Linked DNA regions of Notamacropus eugenii. The main gene of each other region encodes a partner of the protein of the gene in region 3 in a complex. Links are inferred from orthologs where the notes say so. Each region holds a gene or a part of one and is shown on either strand. Other genes may lie near its edges.

Region 1 (3,748 bases), on a different chromosome or scaffold from region 3:
TCAGAGATGTCCTTTCTGCTCCTCAAAATCCACATTATTAGAAGAACTGGAGCTATGATATTTTTTAATTCAAATTTTGTGCTAATTTAGAACCACTACCAGAAGAAGGAATAGTGGCCTTAATATTAATTAAATAAATATATATTAAGCGTCAGCTATATAAAAAACACTGGGTTCAATTCTAGAGACTGGCTATTTTTGGTGATTAGGAAGCGAATAATAGTATAGTATATCATCACTTTGTAATTACTGTCTGTTGGGTCTTTCCCTGTTCATGCAGGCAATATGTGGCCTCAAAGTATAACAGATAATTATGATTAATTTTATTGCAGCTTTTGGGGAGGAGAAATGTACACATCATTGGATTCAATATCTCCATAACACAATTGCCATGACTGCCATAGTGTTGTAAGGACCATACCAATCATAAGTTTGCTCTGCCAAGAAATTACTAGTCACTAGAGATTATGATGCAGTATGTTTTTCATTTGTGTAAACAGAAAGTCCTAAAGGAGGCAACACAGATCCTATGAATTCAAGTACAAAGTTAGCCAAGTTCCAAAATAATGAGGCCAAATTTCATATGCAAAAAGTATATATTTTGAAATAATCCATATTCTTTAGTTGTTTAACATTCCAAAGGTTTAAAAATTTTTAAATAAAATATTACCCCTCTACTATATCTCTATGGATTTGAGGGTGGGGTTTGCAGGACAGAAGATTTTATTCATCATTCTAGTGGTATAAGGAACCCCCTGTGAGGAAATTTCCTCTTCCAATGCTAGGTCAGCACCTGAACTTCAGGGTAATGTTTACAGAGTTTCCTGGGGCACTGAGAGTTTAGGACAAGGTTGGGGAACCTGAAGTCTCAAGGCCACTCGTGGTCTTCCAGGTGTGGCCTTCGGTGTGGCCTTTGACGGAGTCCAAGTTTTTTACAGAACAAATTCTTTTATTAAGTGGATTTCTTCTATGACGTGTAGATTCAGTCAAAGGGTCACACTTGAGGACCTAGAGAGCCACACGTGGCCTCAAGGCTGCAGGTTCCCCACCCCTGGTTTAGGATGGTGACTTTCCTCAGGTCACAAAGCAAGTATTTGTCAAAGGTAGGACTTGGACCCAGGTCTTCCTGATTCTAAGTCTGGCTCCATGTCCTCTACACCACAGTGGATTTCCACAGGGGAACTTTTTAAATAATTGTCAACAACATATTAAAATAAGCAACTACATTTCTATTCTTAACAATAAAAATATTTTTCAAACTTCAGTCCTTGAAAAAAATTCATATATTAATGACATTAATTGCCTTAAGATGTTAAACCTATTGAGAGATAAATCAACCAGCCTGTCTAATCCTTTCTAGGACCTGCATGGTAGTTGCTAGGATGGATATACATGGGGCTAAAAATCTCTAATGATAAAAATTGAGTATAGAGTTAAAAAAATCAAATATTGATTTCTTCAGGAACAGAAAGCAGAAAACGGTACAAAGTGTTGCTTTCTAGTTAAAATAAAGCATCCTAAGGTCTTAAATAGAGCTGAGATGATGCTGAAAACACCAGTTTCAGGGTTGGAAGGGAGGTGCCAGGCACCCAGAGAGAGTCATGAGTTCGAATTCTGCCTCAGCAACAGTGACCTTGGGCAAGGCACTGAACTCTGTGTGCCTCAGTTTCCCCACTGTCAAATGACCTGGAGAAGGAAATGGCAGAGCCCTGCAGCACCTTTGCCAAGAAGGAAGCTGAGGCCAGAGGAGACCTCAAGACTCCGGACCTCCGGGCTCGAGGCCCCCTTGGGAACTTGACCTCTGCGCTCCTCCCCTCCCCCACACCAGGCACCCCAAGATTTGCGTGAAAATAAGGAGAGCCACCAGAAACACATTTTTTTTTTCAGAAAAGCACAGCTTTTTGAGATGTTCGATTTTTTTCCTTTCTTTTCTCTTTTTTGGGGCTCATACCTATGATTTAATATTTATTAAATATTTATTATTTAGGGAGCTTCCTCTGGGGATTTGTGTTCACGCAACTAGTTGGTCATTTCTAGTCTCAGAAAAGAGGTAGCGAGACAGCAGAGCGCGCCGGGCGCTCAGCTTGAACTTGAACTTGAACTTAGCCCTCTTCGCCCTCCCCCCTTCAGGCCCAGAGGCGTTACAGCTGCCATCGGGCACCATTAATTAATCGATGACTTGCCAGATCGATTCACTCCTGTCCCAGTAAGGGGGCCTCAGTCAGTCCCAAACCCCGTCATCGGAGATCGGGGAAGGGTTCTGGAGGGAAGGACCCCCTCCTCCCCCGCCCCGTCAGAGCCCGCTGAAGACCGAGCCGCCATGTTCAGTGTGGGCACGACCCCAACGTCATTTCCCGCCCCCTTCTGCCCGCGCACGCCCTCAGCCCCTTCTCCTAAGGCCCTTGCCACTCACAGAAGTTGAGGCTGGATTCTGGATTGGTTCGGTTTGTGTCGGTAAACACGGTTCGGCTAAAGTTCATCAGCCGCTGCCGGACCGGAAAGGGCAGCTCCATGGCTTCTCTCCACGGGTCCCGAAACCCACCGAAGCCTCAGCTCCCCTTGGAGCCCGGCCTCCCTTCCCCCACCCCAACAGGCGGCGGTTCCTATGGCAACCCTGGCGGGGCGGGGCCACAGGCTGGGCCCGGGCGCCTGCGCGCTTGGGGACCACCCTCCCGCGGAGGCCCAATGGAGGAGGTCTGTGTGCCCAGCGTTAGCTGTACCTGAGAGGCGGCCTAGACCTACGTCTTTGTTTTACAGATAGGGAAACTGAGGTCCGGAGACGTGATCCCCTGCCCCACATGCAGGCCCTAAGAGGCCCGGGCCGAAGCCAGTTTCTCTCCCTCACTAAATATCCCCTGTTCAGTCCGGCGGGGGCCCCGCACCCCGTCACAGCCTCGGAAAGACCCGGATGTCAGGCCTTGGAAAATACCCCCAGGGCCGAGCCAGAGCCCGGGGATCCTCCAGGAGAGGCCTGGCACCCTGGGCGGGGCTCTGTAACACCGGCGTGAACCCAGCGCTAGAACCCGAGTCCTGGCATTGGGGAGGGAGGCGGGAGGGCTGCAGTCCGGCTCGTACGTGCGCCCGGCCCGCTCCGGGCCCTGGGGGTGGCGGTCATGCGGACAGCCCGGCCGCGTCCCAGCGCTGACACCCGCTGCCCCTGCGGGCCCGAGGAGGGGGCCCGCTTCCGCGTGCGCCCCCCGAAGGCTCAGGGAGCCCGCCGGATCAGAACCCAGGCCGGCTGTCCTCCCAAGGCTGTCGGTGTTCCGGTGGGAACAGCAAGGGTTAGGCTTGCTCCGCGTGCTGAGGTGGAACAGGACTTACTCGTGGCCAAAATTTTATTGTCACTCTTTGGAGGCCGCTGTCAGATTTTTCTATGTATTGGAAATATTGCCTATCATGATACTGTATCAGCCTAGATAGGGTGAATTGTAACGCTACTCTAAAACGTTTCGGTGTAATGAACGCTTTAGTACTCTGCTGAAACCCCTTTTAAAAAATGCTTAAAATAAAATACGTACGATTACAAAGGAAACCAAGAACGCTTGTAACATTTGACTTGCAGGGCCAGGGGCGTGAATCTCCCCCCACTGAGCCTAGGCAGGGCCCCCTACCTGGGGAAGAGTGGCTCCTCTGGCTCCCAGCTTTGAGAAGCAGGACGGACAAGTCCACGAAGCCAGCTGTAGAACCTCAGTCCTATCTCTATGCCTGTCTTCTCTACACTGGAGACTTTGGAGAATTCCCCCTTGGG
Region 2 (3,748 bases), on a different chromosome or scaffold from region 3:
GGGATCAGGTCCCAGATCTAGAGGGTGGTGGTTGTTCCAGATAAGAAAAAGGAAGCAGGACACACAGCAAGATGCCTGGGGAGGCCTTGGTTTCCCACCTGTAAATGGCCTTCATTTACTTTGAAGCTGTCTGGTTGGTTGGGGGCAATAATAGGGTTCTCGGCAGTCTGACTGCTTGATCCCCAAGCCCACTGACTGCAGCCACCCCTGCTGCCTCCCAACTCTTGCTAGCTGTCAATGCTGATATATTCACTTCCATTTATAATGCCATCACCTCAGCTGGGCCTGACCCTCTTGGCTTCTCCTTGCTGCAGATGCCTCCAGTCTAGTGTAAGCCTCTCATTCTTTTTGGGGTGAGGGAGTTTAGAAAAGAGCCTGGACAGGCAGCAAGGAACTAGTATGCCAAGCTCAGGCCAGGAAGATGTACCCTTCGACTTACAAAAGTGGGTCACAGGGGTAGAGGCAAGGAGGATGCAAGGACTTCGGGAAGAAGGATTTATTCCCATCACCCCCTCCCTGCACCTTCTTGCATGGTGAGGAGCTTAAATGGCTGACCATTCAGCACAGCCCACATTGGGCCCTGGCCAGGATGGAAGGGGTTGAGTCAGGTGGTGGTTACCATTAGATTAAATTGCTTTTTTGCCATTCTGTATATGTCCAGCACTTAACACAGTAAGCACTTAAAGGCTTGGCACGTAGCAGCCACTGAACAATTGTTTCCTGACATTTTCTTAGCACTCATGCACCCTCCCGGTGTGTGCACGCCCTGCTTTGCAGACCACTGTTTTAACACTTCTGCACTGGTGGAGGTGGTTGTCTGTTGGGACGTTCCTGATACCAATGAAATCACAGATCTAATAAAGAAAATGCCCATTAATTTCTTTTCTCTTATGTTTAGTGCAGGAACAATACTGCATATCGAAAAGGATAAGTGCTAATGACTTTCCTCCTAAACTCTGTCCTTAGCTGAACAAAGCTTTTATTAATATATTCAATACTATACTAACAGCAATGCTAATGAAAAATAAGAAGACAAATTAAAAAACGGTTGTATAAAAAGCGACAGCAGCACACAGGCCACGCGCAGAGACCTCATTTATCGTTTTGGGTCCAGGCTCCCTCCCAGGACCAATGGATCACGAGGATCTCAGCGGGAAGGCCGGCAGGGACTGGCCCTCTCATCACCCAAAGCCAGCACACCCACGCACGACGCCCCTCCCCAGTCACGGCGTGCGAAACAAAGGAAAACAAGTCACTGACGGAGGCTTACCACCTGTTTCTTCCCCATACCATCTAAGGCCCGCCTCGGAAGGAGCCGGCCACCGCGCGCCAGTGGGATGCCCGCACAGCCCGCCCCGGGCAGCGCCCGCAGCAGGGCAAGACTCCAGCCCGAGCCCCGCCCACTGGCCACTTAACACGTGGCGGGGAGGGCCCAGACGCGCCGTGCGTCGTTGCGTCACTAGGCCCCGCCCCCGAGGCCCGGCCCCGCTCCGCCGGTCTAGCTAGTGGGACAGACAGAGAAGCGTGGGTGTGACCGGAGGAGAGGGAGGGAAGCCAAGGGAGACTGGGCGCAAATGACGGCCTCCCCGCAGGCGGACCGAGCTCTCCGGGACGGGTGGGCGGCGAAAGCGGTCGGAGTAAGAGAGGCCCAGAAGCGGAAGTGGAAAAGGAGGACCCCAACTGGTGGCCCTGGGAGGGCGGGGCGTCGTCATGGCAGCGCACGCCCAAGCCGGCCGGCCGCCACCGGCCCTTTCCCGAGACCTAGGGCCCCGCACCCCTAACGAGGCGAGAGGGCGGGGTGCCCCCAGATAACGCCCCGGAGACCCCCCAGCCCCGCCCAGCACACCACCGCTGCGGCTCACCGGGCTGGGTTCCTCCTGCGGGGGCCCGGGCTCCGGCCTCATGCCGCGTCCAGCGCAACCTCCTGGGCAACCGCCGCCGCCCGGCCCGAGGCCCAGCCCCCGCCTCGAGCCCGCGCCGCGCCGCGCTCCGCTCCGGAGGTGTGGGCTGGGAGAGGGAGGGCGTGCGGGCGCCGGGGACCAGGCCGACTCCCGGCGGGGCGGTGCTTCCCGCCCTAGTCTGCCCCGAGGGCTGGAGCGCGTGTGGAAATGTGCGCGCGTGGGTGTGCACGAGGACGAGTGTGTGCGTATTTGTGTCCGTGTAGGAGTGTCCGTGTGAGTGTGGCTGTGTCTGTAGGAATCCTGCTGTCTTTGTGCGTGGTCTGCGTACACGTGTGTTGGCGTGCCTGTGCCCCCGCGTGTGTGTGAAAGTGTGTCAGTGCCTGTGCGCCTGCCTGCGGGCCAGCGGAGTGTGGCCAAAGAGCAGGGATGCCGGCCTCATCCTCTCTCACAGTCCTGTCTGTCTGTGAGAAACGCAGCTGAGGGCCACAGACGCCTAGCAAAAGACGGTGTGGAGCTGTAGCTAGATGGCACCGTCAGTTCAGACTGGGACCTCACTGGCTGTGGGACTGAGCCACTTAACCCTGTGTGCCTCAGTTACCTCATCTGTAAAATCAGCTGGGGAAGCACAGGCAAACCACTCCAGTGTCTGCCTAGCAAACCCGGGGTCATGAGAAGTTGGATACAGCTGAACCCCAGGGTGTTAGGTGCAGTGGTGGCCTTTGGTCTTTCAGCAGGTACATGGCATTTTAATGTTTGCTTTTAAATTCAGGACTTTTGGGGGGTCAGGGGAGTGGTCTACTCCCATGTAAAAATCCCTTCTACCCATGAGTGACTAAATGAAAGTAAAGTAACAATGGCTTTGGAGTTGGAGGATGTTCAAATCTTGGCCCTGCTCCTTGTAGGCCAAGTCATTCAACCTCTCTGGCCTTCATTTTTCTCTTCTATGAAATGAAGGTATTGGATTAGATGACCTCATACAGTCAGTGGTATGGCAGCGTGAAGTGACTGGCCCGTGGTCACACAGCTTGTCAGAACCTGAATCCAAGTCTTCCTAGGATTGGACCTCGGTCCAATGCCCATGTTGCTTATGAAAATAGCATTTTACATTTAGAAGGAACCTTAGAGGCCATCTAGACCACCCTCTCCATTTTACAGAGTAGGTAATTGAGTGATTTGCTCAGTCACAAAGTGTCCCAGGCAGGATCTGAGCCCAGGTTTTCTGAATCCCTAATCCTCCCAAATCCATACTCTTTCCGCACTGCGTCTTAGAATGAGGAACCTAAGACTGAAATATTTTAAAGTGTCTTTTTTTTTTAATTTGTACATTATAGATAGTAGAGTGGGTGGGAATAAGTAGAAATGTAGAAGGTCGGCAGTAAAACAGAGAGGGTGTGTGTGTGTGTGTGTGTGTGTGTGTGTGTGTGTGTGTGTGTGTCTGTGTGTGTGTGTGTGTGTGTGTGTGTTATCTTTCTCCTAAAATTTAAAGCCAAATTTCATTTTCACAATTACAACTTTACTTGGGGAAGATTCTTGGTATTTGTTCACTGTGTGATTAAACTGAGTGAGATCCATTTGAGAGTTCCTGTTCATATGCAAATCCAGGGATTAAGTCTGTAACGGTTAGAAAAGAGATAACTATGGTAGGCTGTTTGCCCTGACCCCTTCCCTCTTCTTTCCCCCAAAATGCTTGGAGTGGATACCTATGCATTTTTAACTTTTGAGAGATAGAAACACAAAATCAGAAATTTCACATGTTATTGCTAGGCTTGAGTTGAAAAGTCTGGCACTTTTTAATAGGTCTGAAGCTTTGATTTAACAACCAGAGAAACAGACTAAAAAGTGAAATT
Region 3 (3,748 bases):
AAGTTCCACATTATGTTGTTAACCTTACACACAAACAAAAGAAAACAAGAATTGGGCAAAATTCACTAAAACAAAATGAAAAGATCAGCTACAGTTAGTTAGATGCAATCAGGCACAGTGCAAAGAATGCTGGATTTCAAGTTAGAGGATCTGGATTCAAATCCTGACTTTGCCATTGTTGCCTGTGTTACCTCTAGTAAGTCATCTAACCTACCGGGCTTCAATTTCTCATCTTTAAAATAAATAAGTTGGACTAAGTGACTGATCAGATCTTTTCTGACTCTAAATTTATAACCCTCTTTTGTAGGTCTGTACTTAACATCACAGCGATTTGACTCCTAAGTTCCAAAAGGGAAAATCTATGAGTAATGAGAATTATTGGCAAAGAGACAAACTTGATGTTAAGGAAAAACTGTCCAATAATGGGAATTACTATCACAGCAAAAAACAATAATAATAAGGCCAGACTTAGTGATCAATGTAGATTATACAAGAAAATGGTATAGGGAAACACAGCAGAGGCTGTAAAAAGTTTAGCACCCACAGAATACCCAGCAACATGCAACCAGCTGGCTAAAATTATGCATCAGAAATGCACTGTCTTTCATGGATTAACAGACAACAAATCTCCATGTTACATAGACCTCCAAATACCCTAGACAACTCCACAGACCAAAACAGGAATGAACAGTCATCACTGACCATACTGTCCTCTATATAACATCCCAAATATAACACTTATTCATAAAAATGTTTTTAATAGATGGTATCATCACAAATACTCATAATCTCTAAACTACCTGGAACAAAAAACTTTCAAAATATAGAGACCTGGTTTCATCACAATCAAGCGGAAATGGGACTAGGTACATACCATTCCAGCTGTCTTGTTCTCTACTGTTTTTGTACAAATGAAGGTTTTAGGAGGCCTACAGAGCATGTATGTGTCTGTTCGTCCTTTGTTGCCAAAGCAGACCATGCTATCAGAGAAATGATGACATGACTTGCACTTGACTTTGTTTTGAGTGAGGGAGGGCTGTGCAGGTTACCAGCCTCACTTCTCCTCCAGAGCCATCTGAATCCAGTGACCAGATATTCATCAGAATGACTGGAGATGACCCAGGATGAGGCAATTGGGGTTAAGCAACTTGCCCAAGGTCACACAGCTAGTGAATGTATCAAGTGTCTGAGGCAATATTTGAACTCAGTCCTCCTGACTCTTGCACTGGTGCTCTATCCACTGCACCACCTACCTGCCCCGACCTAGAGAGCACTGGGTTGCTAGAAGGACAGAGCACCAAATCTGGAGTCAGGTTGACCTGGGTTCAAGTCTAGCCTCAGACACTTACTAGCTGTGTGACCCTGGGCAAGTCACTTAACCCTGTTTGCCTCAGTTTCCTCATCTGTAAAATGAGCTGAAGAAAGAAACGACAAGCTACTCCAGTATCTGCGCACACAACTGGGGTCATGTGGACAAAACAACAACCTACTATAAAGATGAAAATGGTAATAATGACAATATCAACTCATATGCTTATAGCACTTTAAGGTTGGCAACATGTTTTTACATGTGATCTCACTTGTCCCTCACAACAACCTTGTGAGGTAAGAGTTATTAACAAACCTATTTTACAGATGAAAAAAACGGAGGCTCAGAGCAATATCTTGCAGGATTCGAACCCAAGCCTTTCTAACTTCACCACTCTTTGCATTCCCACCTGTTGCCTGCCTCCAAAAGTTGCCCTAAGGGGCCGTTCCCTTCATTGGAGATCTGTCACAGGTTGGATGACCCCCTGTAAGAAAAGACGTTAAGAGGTATCCTTACCAAATCAAGTCCATAAGTATTCATTAGGTGCCAGGGCACGCTGCTAAAATTTGAGCAAACAAAGCAAAAACAGACCACACCCTCAAGTAGCTCACTCAAGAAGACCTCAAGGCGTCTAATGATGGGGGGGGGGGGGGGGGGGGGGGGGGGGGGTTTAAAGGGAAAGCAGAAGAAAGTAACTATGTTACACACCGGCTACACGAAGGATACATTGTAGCTAACCACGGAGGGGAGGGCACCTCCCCAACCACTTAATGGGGCTGGAAAGGCTTGTAGAAGGTAAGATTTTGGTTGAGAGCACGGAAGAAGCCAGGGGGCAGAGGTGAGGCTGGTGAGAGGTCTGGTCCCCGGAAGAAAGCTCGTGAAAATACACTGGGTCCGATTCTTACCAGTTCTGATGGGTGTGGAAGGGGGTAGGGGTCACTCGCTAAATTAAGAGGTAGCTCCCACAATCCAGGTTATGCATCACTCTGCTCCTGGCAGCAGGAAAAGAAATTACGGATTTAGAGCTAAAAGGAGTCTTCAGAGATGCCCCAACTGCTTTACAGAGGGGGAAACTGAGGCCTAGCGATTCGGGGAGATGCCTGCGGACCTCCCAACCCTCCAGGCTGACTCCTAATCCAGGACTCGGGAAGCAACATCCACCCCTGGCGCACGAGGTGTAAGATCTGGGCAGGGGGCACCTGGAGGAGAGAAGAGAGAGAGAGTCGGGAGGGCTCCCTGGCGCACTGCACTGACCGGTGACAGGAGGTGGCGGAAGGAACAGTCCCGCAGGGCACCCGCCCTCCTGGAGGAGGCTCTGTCCTCTCTCAGCCCGGGCCAGCTCGCCCGCGCCGCGCCTACACAGCGGGTCTACTCGGGAGAGCGGCGGCAGCGGCTGCTAGGCGACCCGAAGGTTTCCCTCCCCCTCGCCCCAGTCTCGTAGATATGTAGAGCGCCACCACCGATCCAGCCCGAAGTCCCGGATGCCGAACTGCTGAACTAGCCTACATTTCACGACCGCTAGGCGATGCTTTACGGCCCCAGCCCTAAGCGAGGTCTCAACGCCACAGGTTGGGATCGGAGATGAACCGAGAACTCCGATTCCCAGAGTGCACCGGGGAATGCGCTGCGCATGACGGGAGATGTAGTTCTGGGCGAGCGCACGGAGGTGTGCAGTTCCCGGCGTGCAGTGCGGCAAGTCTTTGGAGTCTGAGGAGTGTGCGGAACGTCCCTGGCGGGTCTCCGGCGGCGCTCGCTCGCTCTCAGAGGGGCGAGGAGGAGGGTGCAGCGGGACCGGCGTCCAGAGAGGGCTTTTCGCGTCTCCTCAGGCCCTCCGCGGGAGACGGGTAAGGAGCGGCGGGCGCGGGGCCGGGCGGTCGCCCTTTCTCCCTACACAGCCGCGGCCTCCTCCTCTTTTCCTTCATTCTCCCGAGAGCGGGGGGAACATGGGGGAGTAGCGCCCCCCTAACCCAGTCTTCCCCAGCCCCACGCCCTTTTTGACTCTCCTCTAGACTGAGCGAGAAAAGTTTCTTCTGCCTCTACTAACTGGGCGAGGAAATGGGGCCACCTGGTGGAGGGGGAGGGGAGAAGAAACCTCACCCCCGCCCCCTCCCGCACCTCAGTCCCTCCCTTCCTTACTTCTCGCATCCCTGGCGGCTGCCCCCCCACCCCCATCCCTGCCCCCAGGAGCGGACTCTGTACTTTGGGAGATTGTGGATTAATTAGAGTCTGGAAGACCTGAGTTCGAGCCTCCGTGCCCCTGGGCAAGGCAGGTCCGAGAAGATAAATTAAGCCAGACACAAATTATATTATAGCATTTATAAGGTGCTTACTGTGCAGCAGTCACTGTGCCGATCTAAGTCCTGGGCATACACAAATAATAAACAGCCAACGTTTTTATGGCGACTGCCAAGTTCTGGGGATAAAATAACAGCAGCTAGC

The links.
Region 1: CEP290 (region 3) and TMEM17 share a complex: the UniProt entries of both Homo sapiens proteins name them as parts of the tectonic-like complex. The link is inferred for Notamacropus eugenii from reciprocal best matches to the Homo sapiens genes CEP290 and TMEM17.
Region 2: CEP290 (region 3) and TMEM237 share a complex: the UniProt entries of both Homo sapiens proteins name them as parts of the tectonic-like complex. The link is inferred for Notamacropus eugenii from reciprocal best matches to the Homo sapiens genes CEP290 and TMEM237.

What each region holds. Positions count from the first base shown.
Region 1 is NC_092872.1:642,117,652-642,121,399, reverse strand, and holds the start of TMEM17 (transmembrane protein 17), read right to left. Parts: upstream 2,615-3,748; 5' UTR 2,514-2,614; coding exon 2,414-2,513; intron 1-2,413. UniProt on the Homo sapiens protein: Transmembrane component of the tectonic-like complex, a complex localized at the transition zone of primary cilia and acting as a barrier that prevents diffusion of transmembrane proteins between the cilia and plasma membranes.
Region 2 is NC_092877.1:297,805,248-297,808,995, forward strand, and holds the start of TMEM237 (transmembrane protein 237), read right to left. Parts: upstream 2,245-3,748; 5' UTR 1,905-2,244; coding exon 1,863-1,904; intron 1,432-1,862; exon of another isoform or gene 1,294-1,431; coding exon of another isoform or gene 1,257-1,293; intron 1-1,256. UniProt on the Homo sapiens protein: Component of the transition zone in primary cilia. Required for ciliogenesis.
Region 3 is NC_092874.1:270,073,156-270,076,903, forward strand, and holds the start of CEP290 (centrosomal protein of 290 kDa), read right to left. Parts: upstream 2,829-3,748; 5' UTR 2,564-2,828; intron 2,302-2,563; exon of another isoform or gene 2,215-2,301; intron 1,794-2,214; exon of another isoform or gene 1,719-1,793; intron 1-1,718. UniProt on the Homo sapiens protein: Involved in early and late steps in cilia formation. Its association with CCP110 is required for inhibition of primary cilia formation by CCP110.